2 linked regions of the Caenorhabditis elegans genome follow. The protein of the gene in region 1 interacts with the protein of each later gene in a pairwise test. Each region holds a gene or a part of one and is shown on either strand. Other genes may lie near its edges.

The links. Proteins that work in one complex are often made in the same cells at the same time.
Region 2: the proteins of R07B7.2 (region 1) and htp-1 interact in a two-hybrid assay, tested with the Caenorhabditis elegans proteins (2 studies listed by BioGRID).

The regions. Positions count from the first base shown.
Region 1 is NC_003283.11:12,055,753-12,061,647, forward strand, and holds R07B7.2 (PUM-HD domain-containing protein), read right to left. Parts: upstream 3,998-5,895; 5' UTR 3,996-3,997; coding exon 3,461-3,995; intron 3,316-3,460; coding exon 3,181-3,315; intron 3,115-3,180; coding exon 3,016-3,114; intron 2,968-3,015; coding exon 2,779-2,967; intron 2,356-2,778; coding exon 2,218-2,355; intron 2,149-2,217; coding exon 2,047-2,148; intron 1,997-2,046; coding exon 1,775-1,996; intron 1,734-1,774; coding exon 1,548-1,733; intron 1,395-1,547; coding exon 1,188-1,394; intron 1,131-1,187; coding exon 1,027-1,130; 3' UTR 810-1,026; downstream 1-809. Other genes in the region: F10C2.7 (Major facilitator superfamily (MFS) profile domain-containing protein), read left to right, coding at 310-568; clh-6 (Chloride channel protein), read right to left, coding at 4,751-4,849, 4,897-5,080, 5,188-5,460, 5,509-5,895.
Region 2 is NC_003282.8:5,389,644-5,393,387, forward strand, and holds htp-1 (HORMA domain-containing protein), read right to left. Parts: upstream 1,915-3,744; coding exon 1,849-1,914; intron 1,803-1,848; coding exon 1,655-1,802; intron 1,609-1,654; coding exon 875-1,608; intron 827-874; coding exon 716-826; 3' UTR 546-715; downstream 1-545. Other genes in the region: ZK616.5 (uncharacterized protein), read left to right, coding at 2,529-2,602, 2,648-2,710, 2,756-2,834, 2,882-2,947, 2,998-3,138, 3,185-3,258, 3,303-3,399.

The sequences.
Region 1 (5,895 bases):
ATGAGACATCCTGTAATCACTGCAAATGGATGACAGAATCTTTAGAAAATGCCAAATAACTTTTATTTGAATATAATAAGGGTTGAAACCTGTGAAATTGCTTTGGATTTTTTCAAAAGCTCTTTTTTATTTTGGTAATTTTCCAAAACTAGGAAATTTGGTAATTCTGAGTATTTTGAGTGCATTCAGACAAAATCCTAAGTGGTGATACTCCAACTGTGTCCAAATCCAAAAATTTAAACACTGAAAATTATGAATTCACTGTAAATTATTCTGAAAACCATGCAATTATCCATAAACAAATTTCAGTCAATATGCTCACTTTGTGCTTGCGATGATTCAATTTATGAAATGTATTGCCTTATTTGCTGCTCCAGCAACAGTTGCCATATTTGTATCAGATGAATCATCTCATACTCAATGGGGTCATGTATATATTCTCAATGGTTTACTTATGTTTATTGCCAATATTTTATTCTTTCCAATGGCAACTGATAAACCACAATCATTCACATTTGTCACACGAGAGACGATTGAAGAAGAGAAAAAGAAACATCAATTTGCTTGATTAATTCGAAAAAAGAATTAAATATTACGGTTATGTATATAGATTAATGTCGAAATTAAATTTATATTCCGAACATTTCACCCAATAAACAATTGTTCTTCGTTCAATTTACTTTCTGATTTCTAATACAAACGCAGCACCAGTAACCCAACACTTCCCCCATTCCCACTCAATGTCCCTTGAAGACGCTGAAACTTACATTCAATAATTCCACTGAACACCTAGACTACTTTGGACGACAGAGCTTGAAAAAAACTTTATTATGAGAAAAAAACTTAAAAAAAACAAGAGAAACCATAGAAAATGGAGAAGGAACATTAGGTTTCCAGACATCTGGCAATAAAAAGGGAAACATTAATGAGATTTGAGAAATCGCGTTTTTAAATCGGTGAAACAATGGGCAACGAATGATGAACAAAAAACAATAAAGTTTACTATTACCTATTCAAAAATTAAATCTACTTTTTACTGGGAGCCTTATAGAAGTCTTTTGACCACCTTTTTGCACGACGAGTATCGCCTCCTTGTTCGGCGTTCCATTCCGCTTCGTAGCGCGCTGGAGCTGAAAAACGTAGTTAATTTATAAAGGTTATTTACATAAATTCGAAATCAATAATACCTTTTCTTGTCCTCTTTGATGAAGTAGGTTCTTTATCAATTGTAGAAGAAGGAGTTTTTGAATTTTTCTTGGTCGTCTCATTCCTTGAATTTTTGCGAGATGAGCCCGGTGGAGATTGTGATGGTTCGAGTCGTGCTCTTTTCATACCGGTGGAAATGGCAACAGAAGATCCATATCTTGAGCGCGAGGTATGTGGAGATGTGTCATCTGAAAAATAGAAATAAAATAATATAGAAATAACTTGGCGCATCAGGACTGAGCGACAAACGACGAATTCCGTTCGCCGAAAAAGCCAGATCCCACACATCCCTGGTGTACATTGTGTAACCTATATTTAAACAACTGGTGTTCGATCCTCACCGGTTTCAGATGCGCTTGGCATTGGAGACTCGTTTCTATTTTCAGTTATAGAAATCGCTGATATTATGGATCCGAAATCTTCCACTGGTGTCTCATTTCGCACATCTTGATTATTGATTTCCTCTGTTTCTCGAGCAATCGAATTGACTCCAGATACAGCTTGGTTGACGGATCCAACATCTGTTACTGTTATATTATGTTATGTTATGTTAGGTCGTAATTTATACTTTTATTACCGATGATCGCATCGACAGTATTCTCGATTTCAAGATCAGCCTCAAGCCTTTCGGTTTCTTCGGGAACGATTTGGTTTTCATTAACATTGACTTCTGGCTGAGAAATCGGCGCTGCAGAAGGGATATCGGCAAATGAAGGATTTACATTCGCCGAATTTTGATTTTGTGCATTTTGATACATCATTGCATGATTCCGTTGTTGCTCCCACGCCGCTGAAATTGTAACATATACCTTTACTATAAGTTGCAGAAATTGAGCGAACCGTATTGAGAGTGTAGAAGCATCTGCTGCTGCATAAAAACATCATATGGCGGCATGAACGGAGATTCAAAAAAAGAAGATGGAGCCGCGGAGTTATTCATATCTAAAACGTGTAATTTCTCATAAGTAGTTTAATTGACTATAATTAGAGGTAGTCAAAATTTATACTCACGAGATGGCATCATTCCTGGATGCCAACTCATCATGCCAGCCGCAGGTTGACCGAATGGGCGAATGAAATGATTATTTTGCCAATCGGGTCCCTGTCCTCCCGAGGAATTCGGCATTGATGGAAACATCCCTCCGACCCCTGAAAATTAATTAATTACTATCATTTACTAATATATATATATATATAAAGCGCTTATTCCGTTTGTCCATAGTTTGTAGTCTATGTAGTCTTTGTAGTCTGCGAAATTTTAGCTTCTGGAGGGATAGTGAGTTGAGGTTAGTGTAAGGATATAGTCGGGTTACTGTAGTGGTACAATAGTGATACGGTAGGAGTACTGCATGATTACGGTAGTTTCAGAAACATTAGTTTTTAGCTCCAAGAGGTCGGGAGCCGCGCCGGAGGTGCGGTCCACGGCTGGTCAATTCATAAAATTATTGAATTCACTGATTTCTGGTGGCAGTGGAAGACAAATTTTGAATTTCTTCATTGTCTGTTAGAATAAGTTTAGCCGAACACGAAACTGAACAGAGCCAAGTGCATTTTTAATATAAAATATTTCACCTCCAAACAAATTTCTAGCATTATGTGGTTGCTGAGCCCCTCGCATGTCTTCAGCCTGATTTCCTTCTTCTTGGGGAACAGGAAATTGGGACCGTTGTTGCTGTGAAGACATACTTCCGAGCAAGCCAGATGATGAACGAGCAAAATGCGAAGATCCATCATGTCGAGTTGGGAATGATGAGCATCGCTCTGAAGTTACTTTTTTAAACGAGAAGCAAAGTTGATGGTCTGACTTACGAGAATTGATCATTTCAGGGAAATGACTTTCCATTGTTTCTTGACTTGCTGGTGGATTAACCTGTGAATGAATTGACTGCATGCTGTTTGAGTTTGTTTCTGTAAATTACTACTCTCAAAATAATTGATTTATTTTATATTAGTAAGCTCTATTGCCAATTATACCTTCTCTCTGTTCCGTTTGATGAAGTCTCGAATGGAAAAACGATTGAGAATCGGCATCATTGAGACTGGTCTCATTAATTCCAATTTGTTGCGAAGCTTGTGGCATTTCAGTTTGTTCGAGATCCTCTTGACGAGCTTAAATTTAATTTTATGATGAGTATTAGAAATATTTTCAATATTTTGCGGACATATACAAGAGATGTTCCTATTTTCAATGTATGCACCTGAGCGTAGGACGAATTAAAATATGGGAAAAAGTTCGAATATTAAAGTGGGTTACCTTCAGAATTTTGCAACGGATGACTCGGCGGCACAGGCGCGGATTGCTGATCTGGTGGAGGAAGCAACTGGAGTTGTTCAGGTTGCTGGAGATAAATTGGAAATGCTGTCCGAGCTTTGATGGGCCGGCGAGCTTGAAGATGTTCCAAAAGTGAATTTGCCAATTTTTCGATTAAACAAGATTCTGAATTTGTACCGGCGATATTGGTTGCATGACAAGTTTGTGTTGTTCTGTTCGCCGTTGAACAAATGGCTTCCACCTCCTTATCCTTTGTTTGAACCTCGTATTGGCTTGAAGTTTCCACAGCCGTGATAATTTCTGATTGGACATATTGATCTCTTGTTGGAGCGTGATGTTGGCTCCAGGCATCAGCAACGTCGACTTCAGATTGTACTCCTTGATCTTTTGCGAACGTACTTTGATTTGCATAAATATCGGAAAGTGAGGAAAAAGGCACACGTGTTGATCCAAACAAGTTCCCAAAACTGCGACGTCGTCCAGTTTGTTCTGTGTTATCACCGTCAGAAGCACTCATCTGAAGCGTTATAATGATTATTAATTTATTAAAAATCAAATGAGGGTTTGTGAAATGGTTTCATACAAAATTCCAAACAAAAATGTTCCTAAAAACTAATTTAGAAAATAATTTTCGTTTGGCGAATTATTTACAACGGATATGACGCAACTCTGCGTACTTTTACCTCGGCTACAGTAACCCATTTCGTTTTTCAAAACATATTTAAATACACAAAAGTCCTGGTCTGTTTTCCTGCATTAGTTCGCATCATAATTTAGGTATTGTAGAGTTTACGAATGCGATCTTTGGCTCAATAATACCTAAATTTTGAAAAAAGTTTACTTTCAACCCTTTTTAAAAATTATATTGTGTTTCTGTACATCCTAATTACCGATGCTCCTTTATAAAATTATAATTGTCTATAAAATCATAATGGTATTATTTCACGCCTTCTAGAGAGTATAATTAATGAAATTAAATACCGGAAAACACATTAGACAAACGTACCGATTAAGATTTATCACAGAATAAAATTGTTAAGAAAGTGTCTATGACATGAACAGAAAATTTCAAAATAAGTTCACATTTTGCAACGTAGTGTTGCGATTTATTTTTTCAAACGAAATTTCAGTTTTTCAGTTTATTTCCCAAAAGAGACCAAACGACATCTTGCTAAACGCAAACATATTTTTTAAACTCTCTGTGCATTTCCATGACTTAAAAAACACGTTTTCAAAATGGCAATGGTAGAACATGAAAGAGAATAAGAACATTTAAGATTCAGAAATATAAAGTTCATCAACATGATACTCGCGGTTTCGGCGTCTTTCACGGAATCTGGCAACATCTTTTCTAGTAATCACACCACGAAGCTGAAAAACAATACTAAAAAATAAATTTGGATAATGTTCGTCCTCACATGATTATCATCGTTCACCACAAAAAGGTATCGAAGTCCAAGTCCACGGAAAAGTCGGAAAATGAATGGAAGAGATGTGTTCAGTGGAACACGGTGCGGATGAGGATGCATGTAGGGCTCAATGTCCAGGAAACATGACTCGTCGAAATTTGTTAATCCGAGTTCAGCAACAGATTTCATTTGGCTGAAAATAAAATATATAACAATTGAATTATAATATTTTCGTAGTATGTTGAATACCAAACAATTTCTGTTTTAAAATTCGTATTTTATTCAATATAAATCACTTACTCGTCGTCATCCTGGCATTCATAAAAATCATTTGGAAGTGCAGAGTTTGAAGCTCCTTCTTCCTCGAAAATTCGATTTTCCAGAAGTTTGAACAGTTGTGATCGCAGAATATAACCTTTCAGGCGTCCATAATCAGGGAGTGATTCGTATGGCGATTCTTCGATTCTATCTACTACTGGAAAGCCATGATGAAGTGTGGAACGAAGAATTTCAACGATTCTGGATACTCTTTCTCGCCGTTCTAGAGCCACAACATCTTTTCGCATCACGCGGCTGAAAATTAAAAAAAGATTTTCGAATTGTTACAACAAAAAAACCAACTCTGCCAAAATGTTTCTGCTCATCTTTGGTGGATTCCAACCAAGAATTGGAACTTCTGCTAAATCAATATGAGCATCATAAAGTCCTTCATTGAACATATCTCCAACCCATTTTGTTACCATCAACACCAACATAATAGGTAATCCAAATGTAATATCTTTAGTTGCTTCCATTATAATAGCTGTTAATGAAATTGTCATTCGAACAACGCCTCCGAGTTGTGCGGCAGCTCCTGCCAATGCGTATTTTCCTGGATCAATTCCAGTAACCGAAGGGAAAAGTCGTTCAACAAAAATTCCAAACAGGCGGCCCCATGCTGCACCAGTAAGAATAGCTGGAATGAAGACACCAGAAGGTACAGAGATTCCGAACGTCCAGAGAGTGAGC
Region 2 (3,744 bases), on another chromosome or scaffold:
TCTCGATAGGTCTCGCCACGATCCATTTTGTTGGCGACAGGCGCGACTGCTCTTTCTTAAATGAAAATTGAGATATTTGTTCGCTAGAATGTGATTTTTTAACAGAACATACAAATATATGGTTTTCGTGGCGAGACCAATTTAAAGTAGCACGCGCCTTTAAAACGACTACAATCAACCTGAATACTACATAAAATTGTTTCAGACACTGCAATAAAAAAGCTTTTTCTGATAAATTTTGTGACGTCTGACATTGAAAAGTAGAATAAACTGTGTTTTTTTTCAAAACTTGAAACCAACAATCAACAATCGCCACGTTCCCTTGCAAACCACATAAATTTTAGCAAAGAACCTTGAGAAAAGTTATCGAGGTCAGCATGAATGGTGAATACAAAGAGAATTTCGAGATTTACCGAAAGATACTCGGAGCGGTATCCAGCAGAAGAAGAAAAGAGAGAATCCTTTTTAGATTGGTCAATTGTTGAAAAATTCTGAAATGCACTGGAGTATCTTGAAAATGGAGTCATGGGAAACATGCTATTTAATAACACCAGTCGATTTATTTATGAATGACTGTAATTTGAATAAAAAAAACTAAGGATACAATAATGGAGCAGAAAGGAAACACTCAAGACAATAAAACATTTTACACGATGATATAGAACATGCCAAGTTACAGAATGAAGCTATAATCTATTGAAAGCTAGGAAAAAAATTATTTACAGGAACGAGAATATGGAGACGATCTGGTTTTGCTGCCATCGGCTCCTCTGCGAGTAGTTGGTCTCGTCTGGATAGGCGACATTTGTGCTTTCTCGAGAGACTCCTACAATTTTAAATTTTTTGTTTATATGTAAAAAACTAATAAACTAACAGTTATATCATCCACCGGAGAAGTCTCGTTTCCTCCTTGATCGTTGACAGATTCAGTAGTGGCCTGACTAAGACTTGTGTCACTGTCCTCCGAATTAAACGATTTATACAGCACATTCACTGGATTGAATCCATGCCTATCGGAAACTTTGTCCAGGTGTCGCTTGAGAGTCAACTCTGCTTCGTATGAATCGGACATCAACATGCTCCAGCATTCCATGTTTGCAGCGTGGCATCCTGGGCGCAAGTGACCAATGGTTGCCGATTGGATATCATCAGGAAGTGTGTAAAAAGTGGAAGAATCTTCGAAGCCATCAATGCGGAAATTGGATGGAGCATCGTTTGTGTACTCCAATCGAAAATTAGCCGTGAATTCTTCTGGCAACGGTTCGAGAACTTTTGTGCAGAGGAACTGAACACTGCGAACAATCGTCACCATTTGATCTCGTACGCTGTCGCCACCCTCGTATACAAGTTGAGCAAGCTTTGCGAAGTGAGGATCTTCCTGGCCATTCTTGTCAGTGCTCAGACGAGCAACCACGCCGCCATTCTCAAAATAAATGAACTTCATAGAGAAAACTTCGATGGCTTCAAGATCTCCTTCATTATTTGTGATCACGAGGGAGACTTCTTTCAGAAACCCATCCTTTGTTGCATCCCCAGCATTTCGAAGTAGTTGAGCGATTTGGTTAGACCGTGGGTTTCTGAAGCACAGCGTCATGCATTTCAGCTTTTCTGAAAAAGAACATTTACTATAAAATGTGATAAGAAAAACATTTACCAGTGATGTAATTCTTCGTGAAATATTCTTGTCCAAGAATGTTACGGTTCCTAAGAACAGCCGAAAACGCGACGTAGATTGCTCTGGTCATGAAATTGGATGATCGATCCGGGTCGCTGACAATCCTTGGGAAAAGTTTGGACCATTTCTAAAGATGAAAAAAATTACAATGGCCATAAAACCATGAAAAAAACCTTATCATCAATGGAATCCGCCGATTTGTTGAGCGATTCGTCGTAGATGGTTTCCAAGGGCGCCATCTGCAAAAAAACAGTCTCATTTTTAGGCAAGAGTTTGTAAATGTGAAATATAATATAATTCCTCGAGGAATACTATGCAAAGAAAGAAAAAACCCAATGACAAGCTTAAAATGATACACTAAAAAACGAAAAATTATTTTCGAAACTAGGAAACGATATTTGAATTTTAAAAAACACAGAAAATCGTCAATTTCGAAAGCCTAGGAAAGAATTTTAGGATTTCAAAAATGCAAATAAAATGCTAAATTAAAGGTACATCGGATTGGGTAAGTCCATTGGTCTCGCCACGCAATTACAAAAGCTCAAAACTATTCAAATAATTTTTGACTAAATGCAGCTTTTCCTTTTATTTTAAAGTAAATTTTTCATTCATTTCAAAACTGTCAACAAATTTGATTACTAGAGGTAATTTTAAAAAGTACTATTCTTTAAAAATACGCAAATGCAAGTGAAATTCGCTAACTCGTGGTGAGGCCTAAATTTAGTTTACTGACTGCTCCTTTGATTACTGTAACTTGTTTGCTATTTTTAAAACGGTCTGAATTCTCATTTTTGGACGAGTTTGCCTAAATTTTCTCCTTTCAAGCTCAAAAAACGTTTATCATTGTTTTCAGATGCCAAACTATCGAGGACGTCATCAAACGAGACAGAATTGGAGTTCTAAGCCAAGAGAAGAGCACTCCCCGAGGTATTTGAATAAAAAATGTCATTTTTTCGAGTACTTTCTTTTCAGCAAAGGCGCATACAGGGACAAAATCTGGAGCGGTCCAGTCAGTGAGGTCGCCAGGCAACAAACGTATGAAACTAATTTTTAAATGTTCCTAATTTACTTATTCTTCAGGGTGTACGACTGGGTGACTACAGGTGCTTATTCCCTTGGATCGCCAGACTCGTGGCCATCTTATCCGGACGAAATCATAGTGAGTGCTGTAGTACACCGAAAAAAAGTTAATTTTTCTTGTTTTAGCTGATGAACGAGTCCCGAAATGCTCAGACATCCCGCATGTCGCGTCGGTCGGCTACTCCCGGTCCAGTGAGTTTATTTTCTTCATATTTTCGTTATGAGACAAACCTTGGTTTCAGAGATTGTCACAAGATAGAAGGACAAGAACTACAGCACCCGCCGTTGCGCCGATTCCGTTTCAGAGGGCACAGCCTCGAGTAGAAGTGGAGAGACAAAGAATCGACGAGCCTGTCGCACAGGACCTGATTATCGATGATGGGGTACCAGAAAGTTTCATTGAACATTAGCTGTAATGTATTTTTGTAGAACGGTACCAACAATTCGAACGATTCGAGTATTTGTGGCTTTGTGGAGGAATCCGAGGAACTCGTATATCCACAGTGAGTATCTAAATCAATTAATTAACTGAAATTTATCATTCCAGGTGGGTTTACTATCTGTACCCATTGATTCCTACCGCGCCTAACTGCAACAACGAGAAGTCGTACAAAGAAGGTGGCAATTGGTACAACTCTCCATGAATGATCTCCCTCTCCAGCTTCTCTCAATCTGTCATATTTCTTATGCCTGAGTTGCTCCTCATTTTAAGAATGTATCATTCTCATATTATCTGTCATATTCTCACTCCCATCATGCCCGTAATCAAACCCCCGTCATTCATTTTTCTCTGTACCGGTTAAGAAGTTCTAACATTGTATTTTCCATGATTCTAAGTCAGGAGCTTTTTCCCCATTATTAATCCATAATACGATCGAAGGTTATTTACCATCGATGATTGGAAGGTTGAATTAATTTCACATTGTTTTCTATGAAACGTTCATCCGATCCTCATTGACCATTCGATCCTTTGTTATATTTTCCCATTT